7 linked regions of the Callithrix jacchus genome follow. The protein of the gene in region 7 interacts with the protein of the main gene of each other region in a pairwise test. Links are inferred from orthologs where the notes say so. Each region holds a gene or a part of one and is shown on either strand. Other genes may lie near its edges.

Region 1 (4,299 bases), on a different chromosome or scaffold from region 7:
ACAAAAGTGAAAGCAAAAGTCAGCAGCCAGAAGCATCCACATCCCAAGTCAGTAGTCCCCCATACCACATCCCCAGTCAGAAGGCAACTGAGCTTCTGAAACTTTCCTGGTACCCATGGAGACAATGCTTCTCATTCCCTTGACTCCCACCTTAATTTGGGACTGGGGGATGATAATCCACGCTAAAGCTCCTCACACTATGACCTCTCCCAGCCCAAGAGGTCTGCGGGCTTTATAGCCAGCCCTGCAGAGGGAGGGAGGAACATTGACCAGAAACACATCCTACTAAAATAGGAGCCCCCCCAAAGCTCCAGCTGCCTTCCACCTCCAGTCTTCCCATCCCTCACGCAGACAGGGAAACCCCCAGGACTCTGACATCTGGAGCCAGAGAGCCGGAAAGCTGCAGGTGGAGGGGCTTGAGTCCTGCCAATATCTCAGACACTTGCTCACTACTGGCAGAAGACCAGGCTGGCAGTTTGGGCCTCACACAGAACCCCTGAATCTCCCCCTTGTCCAGCAGTCATGGGTGAGGGCCATATATTACTCTCTGCTTCCTGTCTGGGCCTCCCATCCAGCTCCCCCATTCATTCCCACCGCCCCCACCAACCCACAGGCCAGCCTCTCTTAGGAGTCTTCTTGAGAATCCTTGCCAACTTCCAGGCAGCCAGGATTATCTTCTTAACGTATGGATGGGATCAGACGTTTAAGAAGATAATGTCTTCTTATCTTCTGCTTAGAGAACTTGAATGAAAGGGACATCTTTCTCCGTGGTGTTCACCTAGGACACCTAGGACAGTGCCTGGCCCACAGAAGGTTCTCAGTCAACATCTGTTGAATGATTCCAAGATAGCCCCCACCTGTCCAGTCCAGCTTATTCCAGACTTTCCATTCCCTTTACTTTTCCCCACCCTCCACTGCCTGAGCACCTTCACCAGCCCAGCACAGCCAGTGTGCCTTCCTATCTCCGTGCCTTTGCCTGTGCTGTTCCGTCGCCCAGCCACCCTTCCTGCCGTGTCCCCTGGGGAGACTCTAGTTTCCTGAGGAATATTCCAATATTCTTTTCTTCACAGGACCTCCTGAGTTAGTTCCTTTCTTCTGTTCTTGCCTAAGTCCCGTGATGTAACTTACTATACAGTACTTCATGGGCTAGGTATGAATACCCCACCTTGCCCTTGGAGGTTCTCATTCCATTTTACAGATGAAGAACCTGAGGCACAGCCAGAAAGTGGTGTGACCTAACTGTATTGCCAATTCTGTAACACTTGTCATGATTATCTCTGACTCTGTCACTAGGCTGGAGGCTCCCTGAGGCCCCTGGGCCCTGGATCACGGGGGCAGGCCTCAAGACACCCCATCAGGCAGCTGTCAGCTCAGACACCATGAGGAGCAGATGCACCACCAGCCTCCTCTCTTTCTCTTTCTTTGGCCTTTTCTCCCAGTCCGGGGGGTATCTCTCACAATCGGTGGAGGGAGATATTTGGAGAGACAGCGGCTCTGTCCTAACAGGTCAGGATTTCCGGAGTGTGAAAGCTGTTCACGGTCCCAGGGCCCACAGTTCCCTAGACAAGCTGTTCTCCAGGTAACCCATTCAAAAGGAAAGCCAGAAGCCTGCGCTAGAGGGGCAATCCCTCCACCCGCTGCCCTACCTCCGCAGGCTCTGGTCGCGGCCCCGCCCACCTCGTCCCCGCCCACCCGCTCCTGCAGCGCCCGGGTTCCCAGCACCCAGATCTCCAGCGCTGCTGGGAAGGACCCGCAGCCCCACGCACCGTCACAAACACCTCGGAGCGCTGTGCAGGGCACCCCACGGCTGCTCCCTGGGGAAACCGTGCAGGGGTCCAGGTCTCTGGCACCCATCCCTGGTCGGGAAAGAGACCATCATCCTGTAATGCAGACCTGGCGCGCCCGGCCACACACCTCCCGTTTGTGCGCTGACTTGAGATCTGATTTGGATTCTGTTCTCCACTAAGTCCGGTAACCTAACTTACTGCCGAGTGCTTGCTGGGTGCTGGGCATGAATGTCCCGACGCACCCTGGGACGTTATCATGTCCCCTCCACAGATGAAGAAACCGATGCGCTCATGGAGGAAGGTCTCAAGTTTCAATCCACTTTGCTCACGTCCGATTCTTTAACCTCGTGTTTACTGGTAGCGACACACACACACACACACGAATCTAAATCCCTAAAAGGACACACACACAAACACGAATCTAAATCCCTAAAAGGCCACGACTTCCGTAGAGGAGTAAGAGATGCGGGAGCAAAGCGCCAAGGTGGTTTCCCGAGACCTACTGGGAAGTTCTGCTCCTAACCACGCACTGAAGGTACCTCTGGCGAGGTCAAGGGTTCAAGGCCCGCCGGGAGGAGGGCACCTGTCCCCACCAACAGGGGGCCCCCAAGACCAGCTGCCTTTCCCAGGCCAGCTGGTCGGGCGCGGTGACGGAAGGCGAGAGTGTCCCGCACTGGCGGGGCGCGGTCGCTGAGGGTGCGGGGTGCGGAGTCCTCCCGGTGGTCGACCCCAGGCGGGAAGCGCTCGGCGGACGGACGGGCGACCCAGACGGCTCTCGACCCCCTTCCCCGGCCCTGAGGGGAACCCACAGCACTCCGCGGGGCGCGGCGGGCGCCAGGCGCGGCGGGTCAGACTCACCCGGGAGGCGGCGAGTCCGGCTCCGTTTCGGCCGGGCGGCCCGGGGCTGGGGGCTTCGCGACCCCCGCGGCGCCCCGGCCGGCTTACTCCGGGGGCGCCGCGATCGCGTGGCTGGAGTTCGGGGGATTCTCAGCCGAGGGAACGCGGCGGCGGAGAGAGCGCACTGCCAGCTCAGGGACCGGGATGGGGACGCAGGAAGCGCGGCTCCGGAGCGCCGGCGTGCGGGAGGGTGGGACCGCGGGAGGCGGAGGGCGGCGCCGGCCGGGAGCAGCCTCCAGCCCGGAGAAGCACCGCCCACCGGCCGACCCTCCCTCGCGGCCCTCGGCACCACCCCCCAGCCCGAGGCGCGGGATCGCCACTGCTCAGGGCGGGCGCCCACTCCCTAGCGTCCGCCGGGGGAGTGCGCAGTGCGTCTTGGGGGACTGAGCCTAAGTTCTTCCCGACGAGTTGGACGAGAGAGGATCGGGAGAAAATAGAGCCCTGATGCCCCCTCCTCCCTAGGGCCCAGGGAATCGATATGCCGGCGTGTGCGCGCGCGTGTGTGTGACGGGTGGTGGTCTGGGGATGTCTTAAGCCAGGAGTCCCAGATTTTAGGGGTTTAAGTAGAGCTGGGAGACCCGTTTCCTTCCCAGACCAGGCGCAGACGCGGAGGTACAGCTCCACCAGCCGCCGCGCGGCGCCTTTACCTGGCGAGACACTCACCTCTCCCCTTTCCTGGGGAGGCCGCCGCCTACCTCTCCACCTTCTGCCCTGGGCTGGTGCCCGGCGAGGTGAGTGACGGGCAGAGGTAGGGAAGGAGGAAGCGAGTTTTTTAAAAACCGAGTCAGCTCACGCCCTCGGCCAGGGTCTCCACCCGCGGCCTGGTCCCTAGGGCGCCCTCGGGACCGCACGCCTGAGTCCCGGCCCAGGTGGGGCCCATTCCGGGTTCCTGCGCGCGGGCACTGGATGGGGTCGCGTTGCGCCGGAGCCACCCTTGCTGAGGGCTCATCCCCAGGTTTGCCGAGAACTTTCTCGGCGAGGCGCCGGCTGGTGTTCTACCCCGCGAGTGGCAGGCGGGCAGCCAGTCTTTGCTCGAATCCCTGGAGGCCGCGAGCTGCTGCCGAGTCCTGGCTCCGGGGAGGGCAAACCCGAACTCGGCGCGGACGTCTCTTACCCGTGGCTCTGCTTCCGCCCCTTGGAGATTTGCCCTCAGAACCGCGTGGCTGTGGCGCCCGAACTAGGGTGAGCTAGGTTTAGCCAGACCACCAAAAAACGTGGATTCAAAACACAGAGGGAAGAGCCAGCCCCATTCCCTCTCTCAATCTTAGATTTTTATTTTTATTTTTAATTCCGAGAGAGGTCAGGCCGGGTCCCCTTTTTAGGTGAGCGTCCAGCCCTTTGAAGTTCAAACACCGAGAAACCTTTAGGCAGCTGGCGGGCGTCGCAGGATCGAGCCGAGGACTGAAGGCGCCTCCTACCGGGAATCCACCGCCTCCAGACGAAAATAGGCTGCAGTCAAGTTCACTTCCAAAAGCGGAATTCATGGGTACATAAGGTGTCCACGGTGTCCACGTGTGTATACCTGCCGAGTTGTAACATGTGGCTATCCCCGCCCCCCATTCTTGCACCCTAACAGTTCGACAGAACTTGGCGTCCACAAAATGGCAAGTTTGGG
Region 2 (4,405 bases), on a different chromosome or scaffold from region 7:
AACAGGCCAAGCAAAAAGGCGAGCGTTGGTTTCCCGTTTCCAGCATCCTGCCCACTGCCTGTGCTGGGTCTATTGCTTGGAACGCTGTTTCCTCATCTCATCTGCTGCCCAGTCGTATTCTGACTTCTGACCATGCCTGAATGCCCCTCTTCTACGAGGGTCTCCTTACTCCTGTCTCGGTTCCCTCAGATGCCAGCTCCCTGCCTCCAACCTAGGCTTGGCCCCATAGACTAGGAGTACTTAGCTTTAAAATATTTATTTATTTGCTTATTTTGGAGACACCAGTTTCTCTGTCACCCAGGCTGGAGTGCAATGGCATGATCTCAACTCACTGCAACCTCCACCTCCCAGGCTCAAGCAATCTTCCTGCCTTAGCCTCCCAAGTAGCTGGGACTACAGGAGTACGTCACCACGACTAGCTAATTTTTTTGCTTTTTTGAGACAGAGTCTCGCTGTGTCGCCCAGGCATGATCTCGGTTCACTGCAACCTCCACCTCCTGGGTTCAAGCAATTCTCTGGCCTCAGCCTCCCAAATAGCTGGGACTACAGGTACCTGCCACCACATCTGGCTAATTTTTTGTACTTTTAGTAGAGATGGGATTTCACCGTGTTAGCCAGACTGGTCTCAAGCTCCTGACTTCAGGTGATCCACCCACCTCAGCCTCCCAAAGTGCTGGGATTACAAGTATGAGCCATGGAACCTGGCCACCACTTTTTTTTTCAGACGGAGTCTTGCTCTGTCACCCAGGCTGGACTACAGTGGTGTGATCTCAGCTCACTGCAACCTCCCCATCCTAGGTTCAAGCAATCCTCCTGCCTCAGCCTCCAGAGTAGCTGGGACTACAGGCATACTCCACTATGCCCGGATCATTTTTTGTGTTTTTAATAGAGATGGGGTTTCATCATGTTGGCCTGGCTGGTCTCGAACTCCTGACCTTGGGTGATGTGCCTCCGTCAGCACCCCAAAGTGCTGGGATTACAGTCATGAGCCACTGTGCCCACCAGGAGTGCCTAGCTTTGTTTCCTCTGGGGGCCACTTCCTCTGTCCTGGCTCTTCATCCAGGTGTAATTTGGTGATGCTCCCTTGGTGACATTCTCCCTGGCTGGGGAAGACCCTGTTCGCATCAGGCTGGGCATGGAGGCCACAGGGCAGCAAGGATACATGTCTTGTCCTGGCAGCTGGCCCTCAAGTCCTGTTGTGTCCATGGTGACTCACCTGCAGAGTCCTGTGGAAAGAATTATGTGGCATGAGGCCGGGCACAGTGGCTCATGCCTCTCATCCCAGCACTTTGGGAGACCGAGCTGGGCAGATCACCAGTGGTCAGGAGTTCAAGACCAGCCTGGCCAAAAAGATGAAACCCGTCTCCACTAAAAAGACAAAAAATTAGCCAGGTGTGGTGGTGGGTGCCTGTAGTCCCAGCAACTCGGGAGGTTGAGGCAGGAGAATCACTTGAACCTGGAAGGTGGAGGCTGCAGTGAGCTGAGATCATGTCACTGGACTCCAGCCTGAGCGACAAGAGGGAATCTCCAACTCAAAAAAACAAAAAAGGTAAGTGACATGAAGTCACCCCCTGAAGTCACCCTGTTTGTCTCATTCCTGAACCTGTGCCTTCTGATCTTAACCTCCTCACCTTCAGTTAGGGACCTGGGGAAATCCCATGACCTCTGAGCCTCAGTTTCCTCAACTACAAACTGCTAACAACAACAGCTCATATTTTGAAAGGTTGAGCTGATCCACATAAAGTGCTCAGAAAGGAACATATCATCCTCTTTAACAGCGAAGAAACTTACCTGTCTTGTAAGTTGCAAGCTAGGAGCCAAACCCCGCTCTTGGGCCAACTCTGGGGCTTAACCAGACACATTCCATTTTTGCCTTGTACCAAATTCCTATTCATCTTGCAAAGCCCTAGCCACAGTACCCTTGTCAGGCAGCCTTGTGTGATGGCCCAGGGAAGAGATTGCAGGACCCCCGTGGGTCCTGGTATCTGACGGTATTGTGGGTCTGGCTGCCTGCAAGCCAAGGGTTTCCCAGGGACCAGAGAAGGAGCCCTACCGTGCCTAGTAGCTCACTCCGCATCTCGCTGGTGTACCGTGCCCGTGACTGCAGATGCACTGTCTTCGTGGCGGGCACTCGCTCTCTGGCTGTGGTTGGCACACGGCCAGGGGCCAGGAATTGGTTGGCCAGTGCTTTCTCTGAGGAGGTGGTCTGCACAAATGTGGGAAGAGATGTCACTGGAGGGGCAGGTCCTGGGGACCAAGTGAGCAGTGGTGCGGTCTGAGCAGGCAGGGACACCCCTGCTCACCAGCTTCTCGGCCTGCAGCATCCCCTTCAGAAAATCCACCTTCCAGGAATATTCATTGATCACTTCAGAGGCCGGTTTGCTAGGAGCCAGGAAGAAGAAAAACACCTGTCCACGGTCCCCAGCTAAGGGAAGGGTCCCAGCTGGGACTGCGGTCCTGGGATGTCTCAACAGAACAGACACATGCTGATATGAAAGCCCTGAGGCTGCCTGCACTCACCTCGCGTGGACCTTCAGAGCCTGCAGCATGTCCTCCAGGGCTCCCACGTACTGGGGAGGAAAAGTGGATTCTCACCCGGGGGTCTTTCCCATGTCCTGCTCATTGGAGTCAGAGCGGGGCGGGGCCAGAACCGAGGCGGGGCCGACATATGGGGAGGGGTCAAGAGTAAAGGAGTCAGGGCCACTGGGGGGAGGGGCGGAGTCCCAGGGACAGGGGCGGAAGCTACAGGTAGACGTGGCAGGACTGACCGGAAAGGGCGCGGCCAGAGAGCCTCTTGGGGCTGGGGAGTTGGGCCGGATGGCTTCCAACTCTAGGAACCAGCCCTGCGTGAGTCGGACTCTATGCGGCAGTGCGAGATCCCCTCACCTTCTCCAGGCGCCACTCGTCCGGGTCTCGTTTCTCCGCTGCCATCGCCTCGCAGCGGGATAGTAGCCGCACCAGGTTCAGCTCCAGCCTTGATGCCGCCATTATTGCCAGGCCGTGTCCCGCCCCTTCCGCCGGCTCCATGTTAACGGAGGGCGGAAATGCCTTCACCTGGTCTTCCGGGCGGACGTGTTTCCCCTACTCCCGTTCGTTAGCCCATGTTTCTTTTGGGCGGAAGTAGTATCTTGTTTTGAGGCGGGGCGCTGGGCCAGGAGAGGGTGGCTCAGGGCTGTAATCCCAGCATTTTGGGAGGTGGAGGTTAGAACGGATCGCTTGAGACCGAGAGTTCGAGGCCAGTCCGGGCAACGTAGCGCTACCCTACCTCTATTTTAAAAAAATAGGAGAGGCACTACCCCACTCTTTCTTACTCATTCTTTTCCTCGAGAACGTGTTAACCCTTCGAGAATAATCGGAGGACACGTGCAATGTGCCCTCTTGTTCTGATATGCCTGCTGAAAGTACCTTCCCCACCTCCACTTCTGCCTAGATTCTCTGACGGAGGTGTTTCGCCTCCACGCGCCATTCCCAATTTCTGTTTTTTCTTTTTTTTTTGAGACGGAGTCTCGCTTCGTTGCCAGGCTGGAGTGCAGTGGCGCCATCTCGGTTCACTGCAACCTCCGCTTCCCAGGTTCAAGCTATTCTCCTCCCTCAGCCTCTCGAGTAGCTGGGATTACAGGTGCCTGCCATCACGCCCAGCTAATTTTTGCATTTTTAGTAGAGACGGGGTTTCACCATGTTGGCCAGGATGGTCTCAATCTCATGACCTCGTGATCCACTTGCTTCGGCCTCCCAAAGTGCTGGGATTACAGGTGCCAGGTACTGCTCCTGGCCCTATTTCTCTTGTAGGAGGGGCTCTAGCTTGGGATTTAGGAATCCAAGGCTTCCTCCACGTCAGAGGGGCTCGTCTGTATTGTTGTTACAAGTTTCCAGGTCGCAGCTCCAGCTCTGACTCCATCCCTGGCCCTGGGCGAGTTTAACTTCTTTGGATCCGTTTCTTCTCCGGGGGAAATGGACAATGTGTCAGTACCTGCCTCAAGGAGGACATGAGCCAACTTTGCCTGACACTGAGCAAGGTGGGGCTGGGTCCCTCCTAACGCCCAAACCCCCATGGAGAGAACTCCTTCCTAGCCCACCTCAGTACTGGGAAGCTGAGTATCCCTGCGCCTGCACTGCCACTCTTCTGGACTGACAGGGTGAGGATGGGGGCTTCACAGGGACTAGGGCCTGGCATGCAGCCCTCATCTTTTCCCACACTTTAGGTCATCTGTACCTTGTCACACCAGTGGGCCTGATGTCCTTGGAAGATACCATAGATGGCTCGGCAAGGTGGCTAACGCCTGTAACCCCAGAATTTAGGGAGGCTGAGGCGGGTGGATTATCTGAGGTCTGGAGTTCGAGATCAGCTTGGCCAACATGGTGAAACCCTGTCTCTACTTAAAATACAGAAATTAGCTGGGTGTGA
Region 3 (4,476 bases), on a different chromosome or scaffold from region 7:
TTGTCTGTACTTGCTCCCTGCCCAAGGGTGAAGATTTCACCTTGACAAGACTTCATCGCAGTGTGTCTGGGAGACTCTGGAGAGCTCCAGCTGGAGCCCTTAGTCACCTTCCAAGAGTCCCTTCCTCCTCCTCATTCACTCCTCCCACACATACACACACACAGACACATACCTGCTGGTGAAGTATGCTCACAGATTGTTGTACTGGGACAAAGCGTTTCTGCTCAACCCTGCTGGGTACAGCAGCCTAAGGCATACTGTACACCCCCATGAACACATCCTGCCTCTTCTCCCTGCCAGGGACACAGCCAGGCAACAACTCGAGTACTTGTGCCTTACAAAGAAGACATGCTCTTTACCCTGTGTGTTGCCTATGCTTAGTGCCCAGCCTTCCAGCTGGTGTTTTAGGCTGTTGCTCCAAACCTTGGCCTTGGTAGCTGGGAGGCTTGAATGAGGGTGGTGATAAAAATAGATTACTTTCTCTTGCCTCTGAGAGAGAAGGGTGTGAGGAAAAGCTCTTTCAAAAGGTATAGAAAGTGCATGCAATACAAGCCTTGAGGGCTGAATAAAGCCAAGACCTTGGGCAGTGATGGGTACCATTGTAGGTGCTTGGTAAGCATTGAATGAACTAATGCCTGCAGGATGCCAGCTGGCGGCAGTGACGGCAGCAGTCTGCACAAAGCACCGCTTACACTCTGGCCTTGAGCCTTCTGTTCAGAGGGGCCAGGGAGCCCAGCTGAGTCACTTGCAAGGATCCATGTTTGCAGCTGGTCTTTGCCAGAGAACCCAGGAGGAGGCTGGAGGAGGGCAAAAAGCACAAAACTGGGTCTGAAAGTGCAACCCTAGCTTGCCCTGCCCTAATGATCTTGGCTGCAAATGCTGCCCTTTGCATCCATCCTGCAAGATGAAAATATGAACTCCCTAGGCTGGCATTTTGGGGCCACTGCAACCTGCCCCTTGGCTACTTTTGAACCACCACAGTTATAAACCTGTGCCCCAGGCACGGCTAGAGCTTTCTCGCCCTCCTTTAGGATTCTGCCATCTCCTCTATCTGGGATGCTCTCTCCCTACTCAACCTATTGAAATTGAAATAATTCTTAGAAAGTTTCATATAGAAAATATTTCACAAATGTTTCTTATTACTTCTGGATCGCCTACATTGTAATGTCCCCAGCTGGCTTGAGCGCCCAGAAGATAAAGCCCATGAGATACTTATCTTCGTGGTTCATTCCATGGTTGCCCAGCACTGGACTGGACATAAGAAAAACAATTTGTTCAGTAAAAGTAAACAAGTGACCGTTTTTGGATGCCCACTGTGTGCAGAACACTAGCAGGTACCGGGGTTCGAAAGCAAGCCCTTGCTTGAGCGCAGGAGAGGTGCAAACAATTATAATACACGGCTGTGCTCTGCGCCAGAGGGACTTCGCGGAGGACTAAACTGTGCTGTACCTCGAAAGGACCCGACCACCAAAGATGCCCCGCCCCCACCTTTTCTCCCCGGCTCCGCCCAGCCCCTGCAGCTTCCGGCGGAAGTTACCGACGCTGCCGCGGTTCGGCTGCGTCATCCGGTCTCACACTTCCGGTGGGAAGATTCCGGCCGGGAGTTCCCCAGGCCGAGGTGAGTGGCCGCGCGGCCGGGCGAGGTCTCGGGCTGGGTGGCCGGGGTTGGAGCCGGGAAGCGGGCTCTCCGCCCGGGCTCTGCGCGTTGGCATGGGGCACGTCACGCCCCTGTCCCTCCCCGGACCTCAGTTCCGCGGTCTGAGGAGGGGGCAGAGGTCTCCAAGCGCCTTCCTGTAGGGCACTGCCCCACGCCGGTTCATCTGGTATTCACTGAGCACCTGCGACGTGCTGGGCGCGGGACCCAGGCCGGAATCGGACAAGGCCCTGCCCTCGGAGAGGCTGCTTCCCGCGGTGGGGTTGGGGCGGGCAGTAAACACGTGAGCAAACAAGGAAACGTCAGAAGTGGGAAGTGCCACGAGGATTGGGAGGGGTGGGGCATTGGGGAAAGTATTCAGTCAGGCGGAGGTCTGCGGAAGGGTGCTGAAGGCAGAAAGAGCTGCAAGTAAAGAAAGACACAGGGTTAATGTGTTTGACACATGGCAGGGGGCCGCTGTAGGGGGTGCTGGGGCCAGTGGCAGAAGTATGCAGTTGCAGCGGCACGATCGTGAGAGGCCTTCCTTGTGGACCTGGCTGAGGAGTTGGGCTTAGCTTTGGGGCATGGTCTGTTTTGTGTGCCCACAGCATCTCTGGCTGCATTATAGATTCCAGGTCTTAGGGGTGAAAGAGGAAGCAAGTTAGACCAGTAGTAGTCAGGAGGTGAAAGATCATTGTGGCTTAGACTGTGGTAGTGGGAATGGAGGGGAATAGAAGTAGATGGGTCAAGAAGTGTATTGAAGGTGGAACTGGCAGGGCAGAATTTGAGAAAAGATGGAAATAAGTGGTCAAAGATTACTTCATCGTAGATTTTTGGTTGTGGCTTAAGTAACCAAGTGTATTATGCTGGCATGTACTAAATCACTCTGGGATAGATTGGGGACATGAGAAATAATTATGAAATCTTCTTAAGGCAACTTAAGTTTTAGATATTTGAAGTGCAGCTACCAAATAGGCAGTTAGATATTACCAGTCTGATACTTACAGAAAAGGTCAGGGCTGATCTAAAGAATTTAGAAATTATTGGTAAGTGGATTGGGTAGGATGAGATTATGTAGCGTAAGATTTAAGAGAGAAGAGAAGCCAGGTTCCACGCTTCAGGCACCAAATTTTTGTAGATTGAGTTGACAAGAAAGTGCCAGCAAAAAAGACCAAGAAAAAGTCCAGAAAAAAAACAGAAGAAAAACCAGGTGGATGTGGTATCATGGCACCCAAGAGAAGATTTTTTTCTAGGAGGAGGAAGTGATCCATTTTGTAAGATAAGCATAGAGACTAGGCCTTTGCCGGGGTAGCAGGGAGGAGGTGTGGTAGGTAACCCATCGGAGCAGTGGAGATGGGCTGAAGTGAGGACAGGAGGTGAAGGAGTGGAGCTGACAGTGAGGGACCCTCTGAGGAAGTTTCACCACAAGGGGACCAAGAGGGGAGTAAGCCTCTACCATGAGCCAGCATTTAATGCTGCACCTGATGCCACTTTACTGAGTCCAGAGGTCTCTCCCTTTATAGTTGGAGAAACTCGGGTCAAGAGGTCAAGTAACTTAGGGTCACACAGTAGTGAGTAGGGACAGTAAGAATTGATTATTGGTCTCTAACTCCAAAGCCCACACTCTTAAGCGCTAAACCATGCTGCCCAAGTTACAGTTAGGAAGACTGAGGGAAGCAGGTGCCACAGTGATGCACCAGCCAGCCTTAACTTGATGTGACTGCTGCCCCCAGCCAAGCTGCTCTCTGTGGAAAGTGGGGCAGAATATGGACTTTCCTTCCTGAGCAAATGAGATTTCGAAAAGAGCATTTACCCCTTTAAATCTTCTTTCCCTTATAAAATAAGGGTGGGCATCTTTTCAGTTTCATGTCTTTGTCTCCAATGGTGGGCCTACAGGAGTGCTTCATAAATGCCCATTAAGTGCCTAGATGATGTCCAGGGACCCCTCTAGCTGAGATTTGCCTTTGTGTTTGTGGATAGGTGACTGTCTGAATCCTAATAAGAAAATGAGTTAACTTTGAGACACTGCTCCTTAGGTGGGGTAGCCATGGGGACTTCTTGGAGGCAGGGGACCTGGGCCAGGTGGTGAAGGAAGGTCAGCATTTGAACAGTGGAGGAAGGGCGTTGCAGTGCTGCAGCAGGAAATGCAGCAAAAGCAGTAACTGCAAGAAGTTGATTAACAGAAGAGTAAACAAACTTTCCTGCCTTGGAAGCCACAGGAGGACCCATGAGGGGAGAGTGCCAGGAAGAAAGCTCTCTTAGTGCCAGCATGTCCTGTGATTGCCTGTCACAGAACAGGGTCAGCAGTGGTTCTTCACAGGGACCAGGTTTGGTCCCCAGCTTACATATGGCTGTGTTTATTTATTTTTTGTTTGTTTAGAGACAGAGAGAGAAACAGCTAACTCTCACACTGAGTGAGAGAATCCAGAAAGATGGAATCCAGGAGAGGAAAGCAGCTTCCACACTGAGTGGAAAGGAATAGAGAGAGATGGAGTTTAGGAGGGGAACACAGGCTTCCACGAGAGACTGTGGAAGGGAACCCCAGATGGGAAATCCAGGAGAGAGGAAGATTGCTCCCACAAAGGGAGTGTTCGTGGAAGGGATCCAAACATGGAGGCCATGGCTATGTTTAGAGACATTCTTGGGTATCACAATTTGGGATGGGGGAAAGGATGTGACAGGTGTCTGGTAGGTAGGGGCCAGGGATGTTGCTAACCACCTTACCATGTACAGGATGGGTCTTCTCCCAAAGAATTATCTGTCCCCAAACAAGGGGTATTGCCAAGATTGAGAAACCCTGGTATAGAGGAAAGAGTATGGGTTTTGTGGGGGTTTTTTGTTTT
Region 4 (3,709 bases), about 39 Mb from region 7:
ACTTCTTGTGTGGCCGGCCCTGTGAATGGTGACAAGTGACCCTTACTGAAGGCAGAGTCTCGGGGGAGCACTGGCCTGAATCCTTGAGGGACATTCTCTCTTTAATCCTAACCTCCCTTTGAGGTGTGCACTGACGCAGCTGGGGTCAAAGGGCCAGTTTCTCTGAGCCCTGGAGCGGAGAGAGGGCGAGATGCTCTCATAGCCTTCCCAGCGCCCAGAGCCGGCCAGCTGTGAGATCAACTTGCCACCTTGCTGCCACCTTGCTCTGGGGCCTGGGGCGAGCCATGGCACCACTCTGTGTCTCCCCACCTGTCTCAGATGATAGAGGGCAGGCTTCTGGGTGTCATGAGAACTGTGTGCTGCGCATCCGCAGGGACTCTGGTGCTTTCCAGTCATCTCCCCAGGCCGCCATGCCAGCGGGCTCTGCCTGCCTCCCACTGACTTCTGCCGTGTCTCTTGTTTGAAGCTTGTGCGATCTCTGGCCTCTTCAACTGCATCACCATCCACCCTCTGGACATTGCAGCCGGCGTGTGGATGATGTGAGTAGTGCATGGCTGTCCCACCCCAGGGGTCCTGCGGGTTGGGGGTCTTCGGGGCACCCCGCGGGGTGGAGGAGAGGCAGGGGCTGCAGGAGCTGGTGTCCTTGAGGTTGCCATGGTTACTGGCTCCCACCTGAGCGCCTCAGGGCTCATGGGTTTCTGGCCACAGCATGGGTCTTCTCCTACTTCCTACCCCCACCATGTTCGGTTTCCCAGTGAGAGGTCAGGGTTTGGGGAATGCTCACCCCGGCCTTCATCCAGTGCAGGAGGCCATCCAGTACTCCAGACATTCCTGGAGCACCCACTGAGACTGCAGGTGCCAAATCCACTAAGCTGGGGCCCTTGCCCTCTGGGAGCTCCCAGGATGGGGGTGGGGAAGGCTGTTTGTTGGGGTTGGCTGAGGACTGGGTTGGAGGGTCCACTGGGAGAGGGTGCTCTAGCTCGGGGCTGTGCCAAATATGGGTGGGAGAGGCAGGTCAGAGTGGTCATGGGAACCTGTGGTCAGAACACCATCACGTGCGTTCCATGACCGCCTCCTGCCAGGTGGCACCATCCCATCGGAAGGGAAGGTGCAGTGAGGGCACATGAGAAGTGGCTGTGTACCAAGAATTTATGAGTGTCCTCGTGGGGCTTGGTCTTGAGGGGTACTGAGATGGACGAGATTCAGGTCCCTTCCTCAGTGACCTATGGCTAGTGGAGAGCCTTGGGGGCTTGCTGTTGTGGGGTCACCAATGCCTGTGTTTGCCAGTGGTGGATAGCAATGGGGATGGACAGAGGAGAGGCGCTGGGCCCAGCCTCGGGGTGGCATCAGAGCCTGGCCGAGTTTGCAGTGGTAGGGCTGGCCCAGCACAGAGTGAGTTGATGCTTGGAGGCCTGGTGTGTGGGAGGCTTGGGGCCGGATGCAGTGGTTAAAAGTTGTGAAGAGAGTCTCTGCCCTGGGTTTAGGGTGGCTCTGGGGTGTCCTGAGCTGCATGTCTGTTACACAGGTGTAATGATGGCACATTTCTCCTAGGCTTGGGGACAGACAGAAGGGCCTGGCTCAGTGTCTGGTAACTGACTGTTACCCACACATTGAGAATACCAAGACCACGGCAGACACTCTCTGTCACCAGTGGCTTAGCTGTTCCCACCCCAAACACGGGGCCGGATGCAAGGACTTGTTAAAGTTCTTCCTCCCAGCGTGGGCTTCCCCTGGGTGTCCCTGGGCCTTGGGCTGGTGGCATTGGGTATGTGGGCAGCCCTCCGTGACTGTTTTGAGACTGCCTGGCTCCAGCTCTCTGCCTCCCTGGTGGGGCAGCCTTCCTGATGCTGATGCCACTGATGGATGCTGGTGGCCGTGGCGATGTGAATTAACAGCAGACAGAGCTGCCAGGTGCTCCATCTGTGGGCACCCTGCCTCAGCCTTACAGCAGTGCCATGATGTGGGGTACTCTCCTCCGTCTCACACACAGGAGGATAAAGGGAAGCAAAAGCCCGGGGGCTTCCTCTAGGAGTGTTGAGTTCAGCTGGGGAGATGGGTGTGCAGGAGCAGCTGGGGAGTGCTGGAGTGTTCAGCAGAGGCTCTTTGGTGGGTATAAGCAGGTGCCCTGGAGCAGCCAGGCACCTTCCCAGAGGAGGAGGGATGGGGGCAGGAGGGCGAGGGAGGTGGCATTCATGTGGCACTGGCACTGTGCACCCCCGTCCCCTGGGATTGTCAGTCGATGCTTTTCTCCTGCCCTGCTCCCTGCAGTATGAATGCCTTCATCTTGTTGCTGTGCGAGGCGCCCTTCTGCTGCCAGTTCGTCGAGTTTGCAAACACGGTGGCGGAGAAGGTGGACCGGCTGCGTTCCTGGCAGAAGGCTGTCTTCTACTGCGGGTGAGGGGCTGCTGGGCAGGGTCCTGTGACACAGTTCCCCAAAACCCACTGACAAAATGTGACCCACAGGTCAGGTGAGGGTGGGCAGTGTATGCGTCTCCTCTGTGTAGAAGTGTAAACCCGGACGGCCTTTGTGCAGTGATTGCTGATTGCTGCCAAACCTGCCCCAGTGGTTCTGCACCGGGAACTCAGCTGTCGCTGTGCTGCAGTCACTGGAAGGTGTTTGAGCATGCGTGGCAGCATTCCGTGCAGCTGAGAAAAGGGAAGCGTCTGGAACTTTGGTTCATCCACTGGGTGTTGTTAACCAGATGATAGTAGGTCTGTAGGATGTGTTTCTGAAGAGTGGGCTGATGTAGGTGTCCTGACATGAGAGAGGAGAAGCAGGTTGTAGAGCAGAAAATGTCGTTGCCCTCTAAATGTGCTTGTCAAAGTTTTTCCCATTTCTAACAACGAAATCAATCTGTTATACGTCTCCTCTGAGTGGTACGATGGAACTAATTTCAGGATAAGCGTAATACATGGAAGCTCCTAGAATAACGCCCCTGGTGGACAGGAGGCTGGCGGCAGCAGCATTTATCACTGTCCAGGTTACCTTTCGAAAGAGGTGCAGGTGCAAGCTTGCTTTCCCTTCAGAGAGGCCCAGTAGTTTTGATGGTAAGAGCAGAAGCCTGGTGCTTAGCCCTGGAGCCGTCTTCTGCTCTGTCTAAATCACGAAGAACACAGGATCACAGACCTCAACTTCCGCAGTGTCATGTCCTTCGGAGTTCAAACAACTGTACTTTAAAAATGCTAGCCATACTATAAATTCATTAACTATGATTTGGAAGATGGAACAGTGTTACTTGAAGCCAGCTGCCTCCTACTCTTCTGATGTGTGTGCTTCCTGTCTGCGGGCGTTTTTTAAAAGCCTGCTTTTAACACAGCTATCACCATTATGAATAAGTTTGTATCCTGCTTTTTTCACTTAGTGTAATGATATAAGCATTTTTAACATCACTTTTAATATAGGAATATTCGTTCAGCTGGATGTATCATGGTTTTCTTAATTTCTTAACTGGTATAAATCGAACTGCGATAAGCATCTATCTGCTAAGACTGTTTCTGTGTTTATGATGATTTCCTTAAGATCTGTTTTCAGGTGTGGCATTATCGGGTCAAAGAGTCTAATCGTTAAAAGTATTTTAAGATGTGTGGCTACATTGCTTTCCAAAGAGGTCACTTGAGTCTCTTCCGTGCCCCTGCTCCAGGCCTAGGGCTGCACACCGCTTCACATTTGCATTTATCTGTTTGTTATTTAAGAGGAAAAATATTTCCC
Region 5 (4,242 bases), on a different chromosome or scaffold from region 7:
AGCAGGCCTGAGTATAAAGGGCTCAAAGGCCCTGTTACAGAATTTTTGAGAGTTTAAATACCCTCTATCTGGGGTACACCCTATGTAAATGAAGAGGGTGAAGTAAAGTTAGTCATTTACTTGACCAACGCCCTGTGGAGAGTATATTTCTGGTCATAGCTCAAGTGTGAATCGGCCTTATGTTCCCTGCCTCCAGACCCTATTTTCCTGCCTCATCTCCCCACTGAGAGATGTGATCCCTATTTATGGAAGGTAGAGGAACCAGTGGTCTTTATTCTATAACTGCTTCATGCTGGCTTAGAGGGTAGTCCCTACCTATTGGGATAACTGAACTCTCACCCTGCTCTGTCTAGTGGAGGAAGGGTAGCTCCTTGATGGCCTGGGGTGGTGTCTTCACCAGGAACTGGCTGGAGCCTTTGTTGCATGATCGTCTGAAGCTTGAGAATAAATTAATTTGGTTAAAGGATGTAATGGGAACTTCAGGAGGTGGATACCTATGCTGTCAAGAATGTTTTTTATACAGATTTGCAGGAGAAAAATGAAACCTGCAACAGGAATGAGCCACCCCACTCCGGCTAATTTTTGTATTTTTAGTAGAGACGGGGTTTTGCCACGTTGGCCAGGCTGGTCTCGAATTCCTGACCTCAGGTGATCCGCCCGCCTCGGCCGTCCAAAGTGTTGGGATTACAGGCGTGAGCCACCGCGCCCGGCCAAGGTTGATCTTTAAGCCCTTAAAGCACTTTAAACACATGACCTCGTGGTATTATCACCCTCATTCAACAGATGAGGAAAGCTAGTTTCAAGGAAGTTAACTGAGGAGATATTAAATGATTTGCCTGAGTTGGAGAAATAATAAGTGACAAAGCTAGTCCTCCTGCGTTTTGCTAACAGGCCATTCAGCTGCCCAGGAAGATGTCGAAAATTGTAGTAAAGGAGGCAGTCAGAGCCAGAGCTGGGGCGTTCCCCACCTGGCTCGCTTCGAGCAGTGATACCTCCAGCCAAGCCCTCTAGGCTTCAGCCCTTCCATTGGTCGTCCGTCACAGTGCGCCATGCTCACACGAGGGCCAGGAGCCAATCTGTTCGGCTGGTCTCCGCCCATCCAGACCACGCCAGATTGGCGTTGTCTGTCCCTCCCGCGGCACGCTGGGAGTTGTAGTCTAATTATGCATTTCTGCCGATAGTGTGGGGAAAGCGAGAACTACTCGACCCATAGAGCCGAGCGCGGAATTGATTCTGCTTTTAGGAGTACCCGCCAACTAGCGGGACCGAGCAGGAACCCGCAACCAGGAACAGGTGAGACAGGACGTGTGCTGGGCCTTGGAGGAAGGGATCCGAGACCGTGCTTTGCTTCTGTAACAATATTGTGAGGCACGGGAAGCTCAGCCTGCTGTGTCAGAGTTTCTCCGTTTTGAGGTCGGTGGGCTAGACTGGCTGGCCTTCTCTAGGGGTGCAGAGACTTCCAAACTCTGCTCTTGTGCTTTCCTGAAACCCCCAGTATGCCCGGACCCCGGTATACTCCTTTGCTGCGAGCCCTTCTCTCCCGTCCAGAGTTGCTCCGACCCTATCTGCGCAGTCCTAGCGCTTCCTGTGAGTCTCGGGACGCGCGGTTCCAGCACCCCAGACCATATGGACGCAGCACCCATGGGTTCCGGCCCCAATGCTTCTCCTCTCCTTGGGAGGTAGCGCAGACCCTGGGCACCCCTCTCCATCTCCCAGGGGAGACCTGGGTTCTAGATTTGGCTCTGCCTCTACGATCTTTCTACCTCCTAGAGCCTCAGTTTGACTTGTGTAAAATAGGATGACTTAAGGGTCCTTTCAGCCCCTACTCCTGGGGTACTTTACTGTGTACCACGTCCTTACCCAGCCTGTGGACGCCGTCTTGAAGGCATTGAGTTCTAGCCTGTTGATAAGTGGCAATTAGTTGGGTCTCAGTCACCCAGCCCTACTTTTTGTTTCCTGCATATCCCTCCTCCAATTGTCCCTAAGCACATTCCACAAGAGGGAGGGGCACTCTGGGCTAAGGCTGGGGTGGGAGTGATCTGGGGAGCTGCCACCATGCCTCTGCCTTTGGTGCTTGCCCCTGCAGGGAGTGCTTGGCGCCCCCTCCCTATGCCACTCCCACGATGCCCTTGTCCCGCTGGTTGAGATCTGTGGGGGTCTTCCTGCTGCCAGCCCCCTACTGGGCACCCCGGGAGAGGTGGCTGGGTTCCCTACGGCGGCCCTCCTTGGTGGTCGGGTACCCAGTCCTGGCCTGGCACAGTGCCCGCTGCTGGTGCCAAGCATGGACAGAGGAGCCTCGGTGAGTGTGGTTGGGGTGAGGGGCCTTGGGGAGGGGAGCAGCTGGTCAGGTTTCTGACTTGTTCTTCTTCTCCTCAGAGCCCTTTGCTCCTCCCTCAGAATGAATGGAGACCAGAAATCAGATGTTTATGCCCAAGAAAAGCAGGATTTCGTTCAGCACTTCTCCCAGATCGTTAGGGTGCTGACTGAGGATGAGATGGGGCACCCAGAGACAGGAGATGCTATTGCCCGGCTCAAGGAGGTGAGGGATTCATGACTTGGGGGAGTGAGTCTTTGGCTTCGTTGCTCTGTATACACGTGGGATTCACCTGTGGCTTGTGGGGGGCTTTTGACAGATGTGAGAGAAGGCTTTTACCTGAGGGACTCAAGCCCACTCTTGAGGGGTTGGGGCCTGGGCAAGTATACTTATTCAGTCCGTCATCCTGACTTTTGGCTGTGATGGAAGGTGGGTCATCCAGACTGCTTTGCTTGAGGGTGGAGGCCTTGAGCCTGGCAAGTCTCTGATTTTGTGTCCTGAAATCAGAAGCTGCTACCTTAGCAGAGACTTGGGAGGAAGGCAGTCTGATGTTGTTCTGTCTCCCTGGGGTTTGAGTGAAATCATTGTATCATTAGCAACTCCTATTCTAGGGATGGATATGGTGGCTCACGCCTGTAATCCCAGCATTTTGGGAGGCTGAGTTGGGTGGATCACCTGAGGTCAGGAGTTGGAGACCAGCCCGGTGAAACCCTGTCTGAAAAAAAAAAAATCTGAATCTAAAGAGCTTTAACGATTAAAAAAAAAAAAAAAAGGAAAAAAAGAAACTCCTATTCTAGGACATGAACTATTCCTGTGATACTCGCTGTTTTTTTCCCATTGATTCTGGAGTATCTATTAAAATTCTTTTTATTTATTTATTTATTTTTTGAGACGGAGTTTCACTCTTGTTACCCAGACTGGAGTGCAATGGCGCGATCTCAGCTCGCCGCAACCTCCACCTCCTGGGTTCAGGCAATTCTTCTGCTTCAGCCTCCTGAGTAGCTGGGATCACAGGCACGCACCACCATGCCCAGCTAATTTTTTGTATTTTTAGTAGAGACGGGGTTTCACCGTGTTGACCAGGATGGTTTCGATCTCTTGACCTCGTGATCCACCCATCTCGGTCTCCCACAGTGCTGGGATTACAGGTTTGAGCCACCGTACCCGGCCCAAAATTCTTTTTATAAATGCTGTTTATCTCATGTATCTGAGGGGAACCAAGGGAAAGGGGGGGTTTTGCCTATACTGGAATAGGGATTAAAAGAGAAATCTTGGCCCAGCGAGGTGGCTCATGCCTATAATCCCAGCACTTTGGGAGACCGAGGTGAGCCGATCACTTGAGGTTAGGAGTTCAAGACCAGCCTACCCAACATGGCAAAACCCTGTTTCTACAAAAATACAAAGATTAGCTGGGCATGATGGTGTGTTCTTGTAATCCCAGCTACTCAGGAGGCTGAGCCGGGAGAATCGCTTGAACCCTGAAGGCCAAGGTTGGAGTGAGCCGAGATTGCGCCACTGCACTCTAGCAAGACTCTGTCTCTAAAAAAAGAGAAGTCTTGGCCAGGCATGGTTGCTCAACGCCTGTAATCTCAGCACTTTGGGAGACCAAGACAGGTGGATCATGAAGTCAGGAGTTTGAGACCAGCCTGGCCAATATGGTGAAACCTCTTCTCTACTAAAAATACAAAAATTAGCTGAGTGTGGTGCCATGCACCTGTAGTCCCAGCTGCTCAGGAGGCTGAGGAAGAATTGCATGAACATGGAGGTGGAGGTTGCAGTGAGCAGAGATCATGCCACCTCATTCCAGCCTGGGCAACAGAGTGAGACTCCATCTCATAAATAAACTGACTAGAGTAGACCATGCAGAAAGAACGTGCCTGGGCACTGGGCTCTCTTCTAGCTTTGCCCCAGGACTTTGGGGAAGGAGT
Region 6 (3,709 bases), on a different chromosome or scaffold from region 7:
TTGTTGATTTTCCCAAATCTGTAATTCAAAGATGGGGCTATCTAATTTAGTAAAACTAAGAGCAAGAAAAGAAATTGGTTAAATAGGAAACCTTAACTTGGACTTTGAGACTTTCACCACATTAATGGTGGTGAAATTAATGTGGTGAAAGACTGTAGCAATCACTGCTTTTTCTGATAGTGGTTTAAAAAGACTGCTTTGATCTTACAATAAAAACGTTTTGGATTATTCTTCTGTGTTTATCTAAAATCAGTGGTATGCATTGAAGACCCATCACATGGTCCATAAATTCCCAATGTTTGAAAACACTACTTTCTCTACTATACTACTTTCCTTTCATAGGAAGCGATCATTTTTTCCTGTGCATGTTAGAGAAAAAGACAACCACGGAAATTTTGTTTGCCCTTATTAATCTTCTCACATTAGAAAAGCACTTCATTATCTGCATTTATGTTGCCTCATTTTCAAAAACATTGGTCTGATTTCAGTATGAATAACACTTATAAAAAACAATGTATCAGGGTGGGCGTGGTGGCTCACGCCTATAATCCCAGCACTTTGGGAGGTGGAGACGGAAGGAACAGGAGGTCAGGAGATTGAGACCATCCTGGCCAACATGGTAAAACCCGTCTAAAAACAAACAAAGAAAAAAACAGAAACAAAACCAATGTATCTAATAATTATTTCCAATTTTTCCTGAATTCCTCTGCCCCCAAAGCCATTCTTTCCTTATGACCTTCCCAGAATCCAAGCTGCCTTCCTACACCTCTTGGTTACAGCCAAGGGTTAACTGGCATGGTATAAACACCAAGCCAAGAGATTGACACCAATTTGTAACTGTATGGCTGTAATGGAACAGGCTCATTCAACCTCAGCCTTAGTTATACTGCTGCTAAAGAAGCAGTCTTATACTGCTTCTTATAAGCAGTCTGCTATACTTTTTTTTCCCATGCTAGGCCTGTTCTCCAAGATCTTTGGTTATTTCTTAACTGTCACTTCATAGAAAAGGGACAGCAGTATTCATGAAAGAAAGCACACATATTGGATTCCAAAAATAAATTTAACTTCATATCTTATTAAATCTTTAATGTCTCTACTTTTATTACTTAACAGGAAGAATTAAGGAGAAGTATTAGAATATACTACTGCTTTCTTTCTCTTATACCACCTGTCTCCAGAGAATTAAGCTAAGTCAGCTTTTTATTATAGCTTTGTTATTCAATTATATCCACACAAGTATGCAAGTTCTCTGTCAAATAAAGACAGTATACAGACAAATGGATAAATTTGGGGATATATTAAGGATACTGTTAGCAAAACAAATAAATGTCTCTGACATTCAGAGAGGAAACAAGAGAAAGAGAATATAGAAATTCACACACACACACCCCCACAAAACCAAACAGGTGGGTCATTTTAAAATAAACTTGAGACCATAAAGCTACATAAATATATCTGTGTTGTTTTTAAAGATATTCTTACCCAACTTTGGAAAAACTATTAGGTATTCAGCATTGCACTGAGGACATGCCACTCTGGCTGTACTGTTTCCTCTTTGCTTTTCATCCACCCAGCGTTGAAGACAGGCCTGGTGAACCCATTTTGTAGATCCTCTGCACCTGCATGGTCTCACCCATTCAGCTGTTCTATCATCTTCATCAGTAGCAAAACAAACCCAGCAACTTCTGTAAATTAAAAGATAAAATGACAACATTTATCTATACGTCTCCAGCCTCCTCCATACTGCAGCTCTTACTTAATGGGATAAGCCTACTATGTTATATTACATAATCTCTGTCCTATATTAAAAGACTATGGAGACAAAACAACCAATACATTCCCACTAGAGCAGTTTCTACCTTTTCTGTTTTTCCTTGTCTTCCTCTACAGAATTTTACATTTTCTGAATTTTGTTTTTATGTAATCTCTTCTATCTTTTCAGTATTTCTTCACCTTCTCTAATGAACCAGAGTGTAAGAAGACATACCTCAAGGTGCTTTTGTTTTATAAGACCTAATAATTCTTTGAGGAATAGTAAGCACAGTAATATTTTAAATTCAGCGTTCTCCCCAGTTCAGCACCACCAATCTCTTGCGCTTGAAAAAACAAAGTATTACACAAGTGATTTTACATATGGTCTCATTCCATTTTCAGCTGAGGGGAAAAAAAAACCCATTTCTCTTTCTGGTAAAGTATAAATATATGGGGAAAAATATTACATTTTCAAAAAAGCATAAAGGAGATAAAGATATCAAGTTTTTTTTAGGATAGCAATATGATAAATTTGGGTGTACATGCTTGAAATCTGAAATCTACAAGTATCAACTCTGGGATGCTTATATTAATAAAAATAAAATTCTATCGAGATGGGTAATTTTAAAACATTTTCCCACTTTGCTTTTAAGGGTACTTCATGAAGTCTAATTTTTTTCTTATGGAATAAGGTTGCAATTCCTCAGTTTTTCTCCCAATTAACACAAGTTTTGACATCGATTTCCATTAGGGCAAATACAGTTAATTCAATGAGACCATTCTCTCCTTCCCTCCATTAAAATATGTACTAGTGGAAACAACTGCTAATTAAAGCATGTTACCTACTGTGCACTTTTCACTTAATTGGATAAGTGGCTTCTATCAGAACAACTAGCTTAACTATGCTCAGTGGGAAAGACTATATAGTCAGGTATTACAGATGGGTGAGGTCTCCAGTCCTTGTGGAACAATGTGAATTTCAATTGTGTGATCCAATTATAAATTTTCAATTCTAACAGGAAAAAAGTTGAACTAAATCCATGGCAACGATATTTAAAATTCAGTCAGGTTTCATAAGATCTAAGCAAAATTAGAACGCAGGTAGCATTTGTTTAGCATTCTGACCCTTCTGACCCACTTTAGCTAAGCTGTCTGGGCATTCACACTGTCTTATGATTGTCCAAAAATACCCTGTTTTTTTTGAGATGGAGTCTCACTGTTACCTAGGCTGGAGTGCAATGGCGCGATTTCGGCTCACTGCAACCTCTGCCTCCCGGATTCAAGCAATTCTCTGCTTAAGCCTCCCGAGCAGCTGGGATTACAGGTGTCCACCACCACGCCAGGCTAATTTTTGTATTTTTAGTAGAGATGGGATTTCATCAGCTTGGCCAGGCTGGTCTTGAACTCCTGACCTCATGATCCACCTGCTTCGGCCTCCCAAAGAATATTTTCTTTTTTAAAAAAAAATAATCGTTATAAAATATACATAAAATCTATTTTAGCCATTTTTTAGGTTTATAATTCAGTGGCAGTAAGTATATTCATACTGTTGTGCAACCACCAAGACTACCCATGGTAGGACTGGGTGTTAATCTATGATTTTTGCATAAAACTTCAATTGCTAAGTATACTAGCACATAGACTGGTTGAGATGTTGCTAGTATATATTTTTCCCTACAACTGAGGTAACTTTGTGAACATATTTGTATACATCTACAAAATGGAATATATCATTTTAGCAACAAAATATTGACAGAATATCTAGACTTTTCATTCTCATACTTTATTTCAACACATATATAGCTAAGTATGGGTACGTCAGCATAACTAATCGGTATTAAGGTGAATCAAATTTTAAATTAATTCAATTTCAGTCAATAGAAAAATAAAATACATCTACTCATACAATCTTAGTACTAGGTTGAATCAACTGAAATAGTCTACATTAATCTGTTTT
Region 7 (4,258 bases):
TCTTAGTTACTTGTAAATGTATTCCCCACTACTATGAGCTTCTTGGAATCAGAGACCTAGTGAAGGCCAGGCACCAGACCTAGCATTTGAGAGCTGCCCAGTTAGAAATCAAGTGTAAGGCAAGGGAAAAAAAGTGAGAAGGCATTAAATGAGGGGCACAAGAAGGCAGTGGTTTGGAGGGAATCTTACAAATTCTGTTCCTCCAGAAGCTGTACTTTGTTCTGAAGCTCCATATTCTGGGCTGTGTATTTCAAGACCCTGGGGGAAATAAAGATATGGGTATATGACCTGTATCCTCCCTTCAAAAATCTAACAACTGAGTCTCTCTCCCTTTCATACCTGCTCTCTAAACCCCCAACATACACCTTCTTCTTCCTGCGGCTCTCTTGAGCAGATCTTTTATTTCGAATCTTCCTTCGCACACGTTTCAGAATTTGTTCCTCCATCTGAAAGCAAACAGGGAAAGGGATACCATGAGAGGGACTCTAGACCAAGGAGTTGAAAGGCAACTGAGATCAATCTCTTTCCAATGCAGAAATCTCTTCTACAGCTTCTCTGACCAATAGGCATTCAGTTTCTTTCTGAATGCCTCCACGGACCAGGTGTTAACCCTAACAAGCCAGACCATTTTAAACAATTAAAAAAAAAAATTGGTCAGGCAATATGCAGCCAACGTGGCTTATGCCTGTAATCCCAATACCTTAGGGAGCTAAGGCAGGAGGACTGCTTGAGCCCAGGAGTTTGAGACCAGCCTGAACAACATATTGAAATCTTGTCTCTACTAAAAATAAAAAATTAGCTGGGTGTGGTAGCACACACCTGTGGTCCCACTACTCAGGAGGCTGAGGCAGGAGGATGGCTTGAGCCTGAGAGGTCAAAGCTGTAGTGAGCCATGATCTTGCCACTATACTCCAACCTGGGCAATAAAGAAAGAACCTGTCTTTAAACAAAACTTTCTTATCCTGAACCAACAGCTGCCTCCTTATAATTTCTATCCATTAGACTTACCTAGTATTTCTGGGGCCAAATAGAATGAACTGTGTTAGCTATTTTAAGGCACTTAACATTTCCTCAGAGCTTAAAAAAAAGAAAAAAAAACTTACACAAAATTTTTAACATCATCTTAGGATAGCCTGCATCCTCTTAATATCTGTCAAAGATGGTCTCAAAATTGGACATTAAGATGTGCTCTACCCAGTATAAAGGAAAGCAAGAGAGTCACTTATAGAGGCAATAACTCTATTGCTACAGTCTCCAAATTCCATTCACTTTCCTAGTAGCCACATCACACTGCCGATTCATCTTGTACTTTGAAGAAATTAAAATTCTGCACTTTGGTAGCTCCAGGTGGGTAGATCACTTGAGCCCAGGAGTTCAAGACCAGCCTGGCAACAAGGTAAAACTCCATCTCTACTAAAAATACCAGAAAAGATTTTGCTGAGCAGGGTAGTATGCACCTGTAGTCTCAGCTACTTGGGAGGCTGAGGTGGGAGAATCACCTAAGCCCAGAAAGTCAAAGCTGCAGTTAGCCATGATCACACCACTGTACTTCAGCCTGGGCAACAGAGCAAGACCCTGTCAAAAAGAAAAAATTCCTGTAACCTTTTTATTAATGAGCACTGATTTCATCATAGTATCACAGTACTCTGCTTGTGAAGTTGCTGCTCATTGCTTAAAACTTAAAACTCAGGATTTTACATTTATTCATGTCCTGCTTAGTCCACCCCTGTTGAACTCTAAACATTTTTACCATTCAGCAAGAGGTAGACTACTATCAAGCCAATGAAGTGTCAAGGCCCTTCACTTACACAGTCCTTTCCAAGGCCCAATACTAAGTTACATTGATGATTTTTTTTTTAGGCAGAACACCAAAATTTGTATAAGTAAGCCCAACAAATACGAGTATCTGCCCTTGCATCTAGCACATTAGGTACCTGCCCCAACTTCTTATTAGCAACAAATCTGCTAATTTTCTCAACTCAATCCTTTTTTAAAGTTATTGATATAAAGTTAACAAAACTGGCCTACTTGGGACTCTTACTCCCTTTCAGCCTTTGCTCAACCAATGAGAGTCTTACCTTAGTGAGAGGAAGTGTCTCAGGCAGAATAAGCCCCTCCTTCTCCAATAGACTCTTCTCCTCATCTGTCAGTACCAACCTAACAGTCTCCTAGGGTAACAAGAAAGTGGGCAGCAGTTGCATGGGGATGTCAGAGAGGAATGGGGAATCCTGCCCCACCTGGGGAATGTGAGAGTAATCTTCCTGAAAATCAAGTCAAGTACCTGCTCTGCCATTTCCTCCACATGCTGTGTAGTCATCTGGGTCTCCTCTTTTCCAAAGCTCTCACTCTCTGCAAAAGGGAAAGTATGAATAGCCAGGCCCATGAATCCTCTCCTCCCAGCAAACTTACTTCAGACTCACCTAGATCAACAGAGACAGCTTCCTGTGGGAGGGAGTAGGTGTGGTCGTGGTGGACAAGGCAGGGGTTGGAGGAGCTGAGAACGTTCAACGATGCTGGGGGACTCAGCAGTGAGCTCAGCAAATCATCTAACTCCCAGTCACTCGGTACCTGCGCAGGGTTCCAATGAACAGGCCTTGACCTATAACCATCACCTGACCTCATGGACATCCCACGCTTTCCCCAGTCGCAATCCCAACCCACCTCAGAAAGCAGCAGCTCCCAGTCCAGTGGGGCCCTGATGGCCTCGTGCGCCGTCCCCAAATCTCCACTTGCCTCTAGCAGGAAGCCCAGCAGGTCTTCGTCACCAGGATCCAATTCTAGCTCCATTTGAGACATCTACGTAAAGGGTGGGCCACGGGGCCCCAACGTCCGAAGCCCAGACACGAGTCCCAGATCAGCTGTCGGCCTTTGGCACTTTTCCACCGCCCCTCTACGGCCGGGCTTCCCCGCCGGGGCTATCCGTAGCCCTCTCCGGACCCACCTCCCAGGCTCAATTCTCCTCAGCCTCCAACACAGCGAAAGTGACGCACCCGGCCCCGTGGCATTCTGGGACTTGGAGTTCTCTCCAACTGGAAGGCGGCCTGGGTGCCGCGCCACGTCCCAAGGGCTATGCAAATACAGGGGACGGCCCTGCCGTCGCCTCGCACCCCGAGGGCGGAGGCTCCGGGGCTCCGGCTCCGCCTTCTCCCCCAGGCTGGAAAAATTAAGAGTTCAGGCCTAAAAGGAAGCTCAGGCGTCATCCGGGCGTCGTCTCAGCATTGCGCCGTACCCTCGCTTCCTGCCGGGGAGTGGCTGCCGGGCTTCGGCGGCTCCTGAGCATCGAGACCGGGGCCAGAGCAGCTTCCTGCCGGCCCCACGACCATAGAGCGCGAGCCCAGGGCGCCGCCCGCGGGTGGGGGACGTTCCTGGGACGGAAGTGGCCGAGGGAGTGTCGAAGGGAAGGCGAGGCCGGAGCCAGAGGGCGACCCGAGAAGCCTCAGGGCTGCGGGCCGGCGGGCAGGGCGCAGAGCCAGGCAGCGCAGGTAGGTTGGACCGGACCGGGCTGGGCCGGGCGGGGGCCTTAGGGTGGGGCCGCGGAACCTGGCCCTGGTGGCGGGCAGGCGGGGCCCTGCCTCTCCTTCGTGTCCGGTTCGGGTCCTATTAGTAGGAGAGGTCAGGGTCCAGCGCATCTCGACCTGGGCTTGGCGTGAAGTAGGCCGTCTTAGGGGAGACAGACCTTTCCTCGGAGCAGTCCTCTGCCTGGGATAGGCGTTGGGGAGCGTGAGGAGTCGGGTGGCAGCGGGGCGCAGGGCGGGGACGGGCTTTGGTGTTAGCTGATAGCGGGCATGTGGGTAGGAAAGCTTTGGGTGAGTTGCAGATTAGGTGGGATCGGTTTAGGAATGAGGGGTCGCTGTAGGAGTTAAAAGCTGGAGTTAAAACTTGAGTCAGTGTGAGTCAGGTCCGTTTTGGATAGGTAAGGTTTAGATTAAGGTCATTATTTTGTTTACTGGCATGGCCAGCATTCGTCATAATTTGAGTTCAGGATCGGGTTAAGGGTCAACAACAGGAATCAGGTTAGAAATCTGTTTGGGGGATTAAAGAACGTTGGCATGCTCACTATTAAGAATAAACAGTGAAAGGGTGAGTTAGGAATCAGTTTACAAATGAACTTTAGGCTTTGGGGTCAACATTTAGGGTTAACATCAGGGGATTTGGTGCTAAAGGTAAAACGTAGATCAGTGTTAGGGTTCAGGGATTGAATATGGGTCTTTGCTAGGAAAGAGATGAATGTCCAAGCCAGTACTGGGAATCAGAAAAC

The links.
Region 1: the proteins of CREB3 (region 7) and TMEM51 interact in a two-hybrid assay, tested with the Homo sapiens proteins (2 studies listed by BioGRID and IntAct). The two-hybrid records come from large-scale screens. The link is inferred for Callithrix jacchus from reciprocal best matches to the Homo sapiens genes CREB3 and TMEM51.
Region 2: the proteins of CREB3 (region 7) and USE1 interact in a two-hybrid assay, tested with the Homo sapiens proteins (3 studies listed by BioGRID and IntAct). The link is inferred for Callithrix jacchus from reciprocal best matches to the Homo sapiens genes CREB3 and USE1.
Region 3: the proteins of CREB3 (region 7) and SLC35H1 interact in a two-hybrid assay, tested with the Homo sapiens proteins (2 studies listed by BioGRID and IntAct). The link is inferred for Callithrix jacchus from reciprocal best matches to the Homo sapiens genes CREB3 and SLC35H1.
Region 4: the proteins of CREB3 (region 7) and CACFD1 interact in a two-hybrid assay, tested with the Homo sapiens proteins (2 studies listed by BioGRID and IntAct). The two-hybrid records come from large-scale screens. The link is inferred for Callithrix jacchus from reciprocal best matches to the Homo sapiens genes CREB3 and CACFD1.
Region 5: the proteins of CREB3 (region 7) and FDPS interact in a two-hybrid assay, tested with the Homo sapiens proteins (2 studies listed by BioGRID and IntAct). The two-hybrid records come from large-scale screens. The link is inferred for Callithrix jacchus from reciprocal best matches to the Homo sapiens genes CREB3 and FDPS.
Region 6: the proteins of CREB3 (region 7) and MARCHF5 interact in a two-hybrid assay, tested with the Homo sapiens proteins (2 studies listed by BioGRID and IntAct). The two-hybrid records come from large-scale screens. The link is inferred for Callithrix jacchus from reciprocal best matches to the Homo sapiens genes CREB3 and MARCHF5.

What each region holds. Positions count from the first base shown.
Region 1 is NC_133508.1:52,502,388-52,506,686, reverse strand, and holds the start of TMEM51 (transmembrane protein 51), read right to left. Parts: upstream 2,837-4,299; 5' UTR 2,646-2,836; intron 2,570-2,645; exon of another isoform or gene 1-2,569.
Region 2 is NC_133523.1:15,817,982-15,822,386, reverse strand, and holds the start of USE1 (vesicle transport protein USE1), read right to left. Parts: upstream 3,003-4,405; 5' UTR 2,989-3,002; coding exon 2,887-2,988; intron 2,571-2,886; coding exon 2,521-2,570; intron 2,383-2,520; coding exon 2,304-2,382; intron 2,207-2,303; coding exon 2,054-2,206; intron 1,227-2,053; coding exon 1,217-1,226; intron 1-1,216.
Region 3 is NC_133506.1:41,596,814-41,601,289, reverse strand, and holds the start of SLC35H1 (solute carrier family 35 member C2), read left to right. Parts: upstream 1-1,560; 5' UTR 1,561-1,618; intron 1,619-4,476.
Region 4 is NC_133502.1:182,067,807-182,071,515, forward strand, and holds part of CACFD1 (calcium channel flower homolog), read left to right. Parts: intron 1-466; coding exon 467-539; intron 540-2,268; coding exon 2,269-2,394; intron 2,395-3,709. UniProt on the Homo sapiens protein: Transmembrane protein which mediates synaptic endocytosis and fitness-based cell culling.
Region 5 is NC_133519.1:15,738,829-15,743,070, forward strand, and holds the start of FDPS (farnesyl pyrophosphate synthase), read left to right. Parts: upstream 1-1,267; 5' UTR 1,268-1,413; intron 1,414-2,086; 5' UTR 2,087-2,123; coding exon 2,124-2,299; intron 2,300-2,376; coding exon 2,377-2,539; intron 2,540-3,755; exon of another isoform or gene 3,756-4,104; coding exon of another isoform or gene 4,105-4,134; intron 4,135-4,242. UniProt on the Homo sapiens protein: Key enzyme in isoprenoid biosynthesis which catalyzes the formation of farnesyl diphosphate (FPP), a precursor for several classes of essential metabolites including sterols, dolichols, carotenoids, and ubiquinones.
Region 6 is NC_133513.1:85,074,847-85,078,555, reverse strand, and holds part of MARCHF5 (E3 ubiquitin-protein ligase MARCHF5), read right to left. Parts: intron 1,686-3,709; coding exon 1,483-1,685; intron 1-1,482. UniProt on the Homo sapiens protein: Mitochondrial E3 ubiquitin-protein ligase that plays a crucial role in the control of mitochondrial morphology by acting as a positive regulator of mitochondrial fission and as an important regulator of immune response.
Region 7 is NC_133502.1:142,636,935-142,641,192, reverse strand, and holds the start of CREB3 (cyclic AMP-responsive element-binding protein 3), read right to left. Parts: upstream 2,987-4,258; 5' UTR 2,797-2,986; coding exon 2,662-2,796; intron 2,569-2,661; coding exon 2,421-2,568; intron 2,350-2,420; coding exon 2,282-2,349; intron 2,169-2,281; coding exon 2,079-2,168; intron 447-2,078; coding exon 340-446; intron 259-339; coding exon 190-258; intron 1-189. UniProt on the Homo sapiens protein: Endoplasmic reticulum (ER)-bound sequence-specific transcription factor that directly binds DNA and activates transcription. Plays a role in the unfolded protein response (UPR), promoting cell survival versus ER stress-induced apoptotic cell death.